Linked DNA regions of Danio rerio. The protein of the gene in region 2 binds, or shares a complex with, the protein of the main gene of each other region. Links are inferred from orthologs where the notes say so. Each region holds a gene or a part of one and is shown on either strand. Other genes may lie near its edges.

Region 1 (4,334 bases), on a different chromosome or scaffold from region 2:
AACAGGTTTGTAAAAAATATTTGCTGTACTCTCAGATTTACTGACTGCAACACATCTCTGGGAAACATCCACACACACACATACACACACACTCATACACTACGGACAATTTAGCCTTCCAAATTCACCTGTACCGCATGTCTTTGGACTGTAAGGAAAACCGGAGCACCCGGAGGAAACCCACGCGAACGCTGGGAGAACATGCAAACTCCACACAGAAACGCCAACTGAGCCGAGGCTCGAACCAGCGACCTTCTTTCTGTGAGGCGACAGCACTACCCACTGCTTCGCCCCTATGTTTATTTCAATTCATTTCAATTTCATTTAATTTATTTAGCGCTTCTACAAATTACATTGCATCAAAACAGCTCAACATAGAAGATTACAGTAAACTGAAATCATGTCAGTCCAGTTTTCAGAGTTGAAGTTCAGTTCAGTTTAGATCAGTGTGGGTTTAATTTCATTGCTAAAAGTCAAAACACCGAAAAGCAAAATGAAATGAAATACAAAGAAAATCACATTTGCTTGAAGTCAATATTAAAATTGACATTTTAGTAAGGTAAGGGGGTCCCTTGCACAAATATGTTCTTATTTGGGGGCACTGAAAAAAATGATGTCTGCAGAATTGTTGCTAACAATTTATTTGTGTTGAATTTAAATAAACAAATTAAAATTAATAAAATTTAACCTAATTTGTTAGTTTAAATCCAGCCCAAGTTGTTTACAGCCACTTAACCTAAAACATTGAGTAAATCCAAGGAATCATCTCTGAATATTTTTTTTCAGTATGTTCCCTCAGTTTCCACTAATTGCCCCCACAATAATACAATACACTTCATGAATTTACCAAGTCTTAGTTAAAAGTTAATTATAAAGTACATATGTAAAAGCACAAATTTATACAACATCATATCAATTAATATGGCTAGATTTAAAGGATTTTTTCATATTCACAAGAGTTTCAATCTGGTCAAATTGTAGTCCTGAGATTAAACTAATGTAAACAAAACAAAAATAATTAGGTCACTGGTATAAAAAGTGTTTTAAAATCTTAATAGCCCAACTGGATAGAAAAACCAGCATACTTTTTCTTTTTTTCTACAGACAGTCCTCGTTGGCACTCCCTGCATACTTCCGGTCCATGCGCCATTCCTCGAGCATTGACCAATCAGCTTCCTCAACATCCATTAGTGCCCCGCCCATTACTATTCCAGCCTCGTTCTGGAGACAGTCCAGGAATATAAAGCCTTTGTCCGGCTTTCTCAAATTATTGCCGAGCCACACCGCTACTTTTTACATTCATTGGAGAACTTCTCGCACAATTTCTAACAATGAGGGAGATTGTTCACATCCAAGCCGGTCAGTGCGGAAACCAAATCGGTGCCAAGGTAAGAAGAGTTTTTCAGAGTAAAATCAGAGTCATTTATATTTAGCATCTTCTACTGAAAATATCTTAAAATGCAACAATGATTGTGTGTTGTATAGTTGAAGTTTTTTATTGTATTTAAAACAGAAACATTTTGTCTACTTTATATTTAACATGACCGTTAGGCAATACAGAGCAATTGTGTGTCCAGTTTTTGGCATTGCACACTTTACCAAACGTTATTAATAATGTATAACACTATAGCAACATGTAGAGCACTTTCATAACTCCTTCACTATGTACAAGAATCTACTTCTCCTCACACTGCTTTGTCTTGTCCTCTTTTTGTCTCATCTGAAGCCCCCTTTATTCACGCCCAAGAATATGCGGCTCCCACTCCTATTCATTCCCATTATGTCTTTTAGTCGCTCTGAATAGCATTTTTCATGTAAACGATGCTCAAATTCCACAGACTCCGAGCATTAATGTCTTTGTGTGTAAATTAGAGTTGTGGGTGTAGAGATTGAGAGAGGAAGAGGGGGGTCTGTCTGTCCTCTTTCTTTCTCTCGTTGTCTTCAATGCACCGGGTGTGGCGGATCTGATGGGCACAGCAGCAGCAGCGCTCTCTATAATTATTACCATGGCGACCTGTAATCAGTGTCGCGAGCCCTTTAAACAGCTGTCAGGACTCTGAGCGCAGCCACGTGGCACTAATATTACTATAGCATCTTTTTCTTTTATTTCAAGTATTTTATCCAGTTAGTCTCTGCCTGTCCTGTCAGTGAAGCGTTAGTGTCATCGATGTGCAGATATTGACTGCTGTGATTCAGTGGTGGAGGATGCTGGAAAGGGTGGGGCTGTGCAGGAAGACAATGAGGATTTAATTGAAGACATAACCATTGAAGTAGGCTAATAGTGGTAAATTATGAACTCTTGATTAGTAACATTATTATTATTATTAGTTTTAGTCATCGCTTAATTTGCTTTAAAATTGGCTTCTTTCTTACTTTGATCTCACAAAAGGATTAGCTTTCCTTTATCAGCCTCAGATATGACCAACTTGTTTGCTTTTACATTTCAACAAATTTACTTATAGTTCAATTTTATATATAAATAGTATATATATAAACTTTTTTTCCATGCTAAATGCTATTAAATGCAGTAGTTATTTTTATTGATGACCTCTTAACCACAAATTTTTATCATTTAATCCCTGAAGTTAAAGGTAAAAATAATTCAACATAAAATCATAAACTCTAAGAATCATAGACTTTTAAAGTTTTTGTTATGTATGAATAATGCTAATTTAAAATTTGGTATGAAATGTATATTTCCTAAAACATGTATTTGTCTTAAATAAAATTCCAAATTATTAAAAAGTACATTTAATTAAAATTAAAAATGAATGCAGAACCAAAGGTTTCTGCTCAATAAAAGTTTCCCAATTGATAACGAACACAAATAGTGACAGTTTAACCTTTTCTAATCATTCATTCATTCATTTATTTTCTTTTCGGGTTAGTCCCTTTATTAATCTGGGGTCGCCACAGCGCAATGAACCACCAACTTATCCAGCATATGTTTTTACGCAGCAAGTACCCTTCCAGCTGCAACTCATCTCTGGGAAACATTCATACACACTCATTCTCACACATACACTACTGACAATTTAGCTTACCCAATTCACCTGTACTGCAAGTCTTTAGATTGTGAGGGAAACCGGATGCAGGGAGAACATGCAAACTCAACACAGAAACACTCAAACCAGCGACGTTCTTGCTGTGAGGTGACAGCACTATCTACTGCACCACTGCGTCGCCCCCTTTTCTAACCATGACTTTTATTATTGCATATTTTTAAAATAATTTAATATTGTTCTGATGAACCAAAGCATTAAATTTTTGGTCAAAAATGAAGGAAGACCTTTAGAGAAATACATTTAGGGCTAGCGATTTGACCTAAAATCAAAATCTTTATTATTGAACATTTTAACTCGATTACAATTAATGAATGATTATTTTATGTATTTATTTTATGTTTTTGCCCTCATAGTTCACTAGTTTTTTACAGTAAATATCCTCACACATTACAAGTGAGAGATCTTTAAATGAAGGGTGCATTGCTTGATTTTAAAATAATTGGAGGAAACGCACACTGTCTACTTTAAATGATTATTTATTGAACATCAATGCTGAACAACTGAAATTGTCCGCGCCGCCCACCCTTGTTACCTCTACCAAACTGACCAATCACAAAGCTTGTGCTGTGTGTCATTGTGACGTGTAATTGCTTTTTTTTGAGAGGTGTGGGTATGCGAAGGCTGCGCCGGACCGTACGCTTGGCAGAAGTATAATGTCAGAATAATATAAAAAGTATAAATCATAATAGAGTAAGTATAAATTAGCCTTGAGAAAATGGGGACACGTGACTCCACACATGGCAGGGAAAGTAATTAATAAAATTGACCTGAAAAAATTTGATCGATTATAGGTTCTGAATGTCGATTGCGATTACTTTTTCGATTAGTCGCCCAGCCTTAAATACATTTGCCTAAAATCTGTAGAATCTGTAGAACTTTTTCACATACATGACCCAATTTTAAAACACGCCTATTTTAAAGATTGCTCATGAGATGTTGCATGACTTATGTGGCATTAAGAATTGGGTTAAATCGTCCTCATCCGTTATAAGACTTTGACATGCCTTTTAAATGATGAGATGGCGAGTGTCTGTTGAACTCATCTGAGGTCAGGGTGGGGAAGAGGAGGCATCTGCAAATGGACTTAATGCCTCTAACAGCTGCTGCCCATCCCTTCTACAGTACAGATATAAATGAAACATGAATAATGAATGACTAAATTGCATATTCATGGGGTAAAAAGAAAGCCCGTTGATTTGGTCAATTGAATAATTGGCAAAAAAAATTATAAAATGATTAAAGTAATTACATTATTTTCTTTTTGTTATA
Region 2 (3,988 bases):
AAGAGCTGTTTCAATATGCTGTATTAGAGTAGTCAATTAACTTATCTTGTATGTCTTTGGACTGTGAGAGGAAACTGGGAAACCTGAGGGAAACCCATGCGAACATGGGGAGAAAATGCAAACTCCACACAGAAACACCAACTGCCTTGGTGAGGGGCCGACCTAGTGGTGTTCTTGCTGTGAGGCAACAGTGATAACTACTGGGCCGCCGTGGTTGGAGGGGAGGAGTTGGGGTGGAACGAGGGATTCTTCAAGACGAAAATGACTGGAGTGGAATAATCTGGCTATTTATAGTGCATCAGTATTCATCTGATTGGTGCAATATACGGAGCTGATGCGGTACCAGCCGTGTTCAATCATAACCACGTGATCCTCTTGAAATTAGTTTATAAATAAACCACCTAGTGAATGCTGCTCTCTCATTGGCTGTAAGTAATCTCAGATGTGATTTTCAATCAGAACACATTTCACACGGTAGGATTTTGAATTGGCGACAGCTCCAGGTATTTAACAAGCCAAATATCTGGCGGATGTCAGCGACTCATCGGAAATTCTCCCAGATTGCGTGTTTTGATAGATCACATGGTGTGATTGTTACTCACGTGAAAGAGCACCGATTTTCCTGTGATTTCTTAAAACCTGTAAAATCAGAGCTAAAGTCATGCAGTCGGGCAGACAAAACTCAATGTAATGTGCAAGAAAATAAAGTGGAAGAAAGATGAGAATGTCAATAATCAGAAATAAACAAAAATAATGAGAATGAATGTATTGACTTGAAATATTTATTAATTCTCAGAGTCTTGCTTAAAATAAATAATGGTAAGATAAAGGAAGCAAAATGGCCAAAAAAAACGAAGAGTAGTGTTTAAAAAGAAAAAAAAAAAGTGATCAACATCAATACAATCTTTTAGGTAATATATAAAAACACACATAATATACAAAAAAATGCAGTTTAAAATGACAATTCTAACACCTATCGTTTGGAAACAGTAGTTTAAGAGACGAAAGGGGCTGTCAGTGTGCTCTTTTCCGGTGTTAATAGTGTTTATTTCTCAGTGTCTACTAGAGTACCTTCAAATCTACTGAAGCTTTAGGAGTAAAAACAGTTTCGTTAAGCCCTTTAAACCTCTACACCGTCATGAGCAAAAAAATAAAGTGCATGTGCAACACTCAATTGATCTTGACACCAGACACGAGGCTTCTGTGAGTGTTTTTTCGAGCGTCTACACGCAAAAGGACGTCGGCAGTGTTGACTTGTTTCGCTGAGGAATGTTTTCAACCTTGGTAAATAATTAGACAGCGACTGCAAGGGAAGTAACCGATTGTGAATATATTAAATACTGTCATTCAAATCGTTTACAGCGACACTCTTCATAACAGAGCATGCTGCTCTTCTGCATGAGGGAAAAAAAAAAAAAAAAGCTCCAGTGCCAACATCAACATGGTTACATTGCATGATAATAAAAGCACTAAAACATGATCATAAGTGCACCATAGTACAGACTGTCCAGTGGAAGAGGCCGCTACCGAGAAAGATAAGTAAACTGCATCTGACTCTTATCAAGGTCTGTTTGATTCCCAATCAAAAAAGACCATCAAGCGGGGGGGTTAAAACCGAGGCGCTTATTTGAAAGAGTTGAATAAACAGACAGTACCACAACGCATGAAGGCCAAAAGTATGCAGACCCGGGATTATCCCGGCGACAACAAAGGAGCAGCATGTTTTTGGAGGCAAAAAAAATTTGGTTGAGAGGCAAGTCAGCTAAGTTTTGTACATTAATTCGAGTTCCGGCAGTCCTCGGAGGCAGCAGACATGTTTTGAAAGACGTTAAGTAGATAATAGTAAAAAAAAAAGGCAAACAATCATGGGGGAAGCGCTTCGTTTAAACGAGCTAATCAGTGCCAAACTAATAAATACTTCAAGTAACAAAAGAGTGATTCATGTAAAAACACCACAGGATTGTGGGTACTACTTCAACCCAAAACACATTCAAATGAAGTGCATGATAACTCATGCCTGTTTGTCCAGCGAACCTCTTCCATTCAAAGTGACTACTGACCTCGATGGAAAAAAAATAGTGTCATCTGACTTCACTTCGCGCTCTTTTTTGGCCCTGCGGGTCTTTTAGCTTGCCACAGGTGGTTATGGATAGTCAGCGCATCTACACTCACAGACACAGTCTTGGCGGGGATTACAGTGAACTGCTTGCGGTCCGAGCTGTACTTATAGAGTTTGTCGATCATCTTTTTAGTGATGCTCTTGGGCCCGGTGCCGGTGAGCTTGTGGATCTCCTCTGTGTCAGGGAAGTATGAGTAAAGGGCTCTGAATTGGCAGCCGCTGTCCCGGAAGAGAATCATCAAGTGGTTGGATTCACACCTCTCCAGCTCCTGCCGGTCAAGACACAATCATTTCATTTATTTTGTGTTCACCATCAAGATTTAGTATTATAAACAGACTCCCCCTAGTTCAGGGGTGGCCAACCCTGTTCCTGGAGAGCCACCTTCCTGCAGATTTCAGTTGCTACCCATATCAAACACACCTAAACCAATTAATCAGGACCTGAACACCAGGTGATAATAGCAGGCAGGTGTGTTTGATATGGGCTGCAACTGTAATCTGCAGGAAGGGGGCTCTGCAGGAACAGGGTTGGCCACCCCTGCCCTAGTTTTTCACGATTCCGCGATCGCTAAATCCAACTAAAAATCAACAAAAAGACACAGTTTTTTGCGATCCTGCAAAATTCTTAATTAAACGCAAAATAATCACAAAAAATGTTTATAATCTCATAAAACATCTAATTCCAAACCATAAAATCAAATGATATTAATTTCAGTTTGCACTTAAATGTTTTACATGACTTATAGACGTTGCATACGCAGCGTACGTGATGTATTTGAGTGTCTCTCGACAAAATGACATGCCACTTGCGCCCTCACAATCATTACATGCGTGTGGTTGGGTGTTTTGCAGCCTGTGCAGTAAGCACACGCGAATGAAGCGCTACTGATTTACATATGAAGACAATGCAAAGATGGGATTAGACATCCTGTGGCGCAAATTGGCCATTTTGTGCGTTTGACGTGCTTCAGACTGCAACAAAAGTGCAAGCAAACATCTCAAAAATAGAGCAATGCAAAAGACAGACAAGTAAGCAGCTTACAATAATGGAGATTGGTTGAAGGACAACGGTTGCTGGACTTGACCGAATTGAAAGACCTTATTTGTGCTTTTACATGTATGGCTGGTGTTAATAGTGTTGTTGAAATCGATAAGTGATGTTGTTGAACTCTTTCCCTGCAATTAACAAGAGAAAACCAAAACGCTTCCCTGCAACAAGTTTTTTGGTCTGCAATCTATCTTTTAGGTGCTAGAAGAAGCCCTAATGCATTTCCTGAATGAGGTACATTATGTCAGATGCTCCGGGGAGCAAAATCTGAGAGAGAGAAAAAGTAAATTCGTGCATAAAATTAATACAGCCTTCCTTGGGCTTAATCCCTATCATTTTAGAACTGTTTTAGATCTTGTCTTGACAAAACAACAAAATAAAGAAGCTTTATTTTTATGATTTGTGTCCTTGTCATTGTGTCAGATAGCACATCTAACATAGTCGGCTACCTAATATGTTAGATAAGATCACAAAATTGTTTGCAAATTTCTGGGAATTACAGACACAAAATCAGTCACAAAGTCATTTTATTGCTTGTCTGTATAAACAAATTTTCATGATTAATCTGTGAAGTCACACACCTCAAGAATGGAGTTCTTCTGCGGTTCGTTGACTTTCCCTGCTAAGCAGCAATGAGAAATGGCGTTGTGGATTATCGGCTTGTTGGACTTCGCACTTGGTTCCTTGAAAAGTTTGGGTCCTACAGCGACAAAAAAAAATTGTTACAAGAATAAACAAAAAACTCGAGAAGAATCAGAATTTTTGTCATTGTACAAAATACAACAAAATTTGCATTTGCCCTTCCTTTCAGTGCAAATCCT

Evidence for each region.
Region 1: the proteins of camsap1b (region 2) and tubb5 are in contact, whole or in part, in a cryo-EM structure (PDB 6QUS), measured with the Homo sapiens proteins. The link is inferred for Danio rerio from reciprocal best matches to the Homo sapiens genes CAMSAP1 and TUBB. Residues at the interface, in NP_056262.3 of Homo sapiens: Cys1486, Cys1487, Leu1488, Ala1489, Gly1490, Lys1491, Val1492, Asn1493, Ala1519, Gly1520, Cys1521, Gln1522, Arg1562, Lys1563, Gln1564; in NP_821133.1 of Homo sapiens: Arg306, His307, Gly308, Arg309, Asn332, Asn335, Lys336, Ser338, Ser339, Tyr340, Glu343, Gln426.

Annotation. Positions count from the first base shown.
Region 1 is NC_133191.1:10,600,833-10,605,166, forward strand, and holds the start of tubb5 (tubulin beta-5 chain), read left to right. Parts: upstream 1-1,269; 5' UTR 1,270-1,331; coding exon 1,332-1,388; intron 1,389-4,334. UniProt on the Homo sapiens protein: Tubulin is the major constituent of microtubules, a cylinder consisting of laterally associated linear protofilaments composed of alpha- and beta-tubulin heterodimers.
Region 2 is NC_133180.1:71,534,714-71,538,701, forward strand, and holds the end of camsap1b (calmodulin-regulated spectrin-associated protein 1-B), read right to left. Parts: intron 3,868-3,988; coding exon 3,749-3,867; intron 2,389-3,748; coding exon 2,092-2,388; 3' UTR 769-2,091; downstream 1-768. UniProt on the Homo sapiens protein: Key microtubule-organizing protein that specifically binds the minus-end of non-centrosomal microtubules and regulates their dynamics and organization. Specifically recognizes growing microtubule minus-ends and stabilizes microtubules.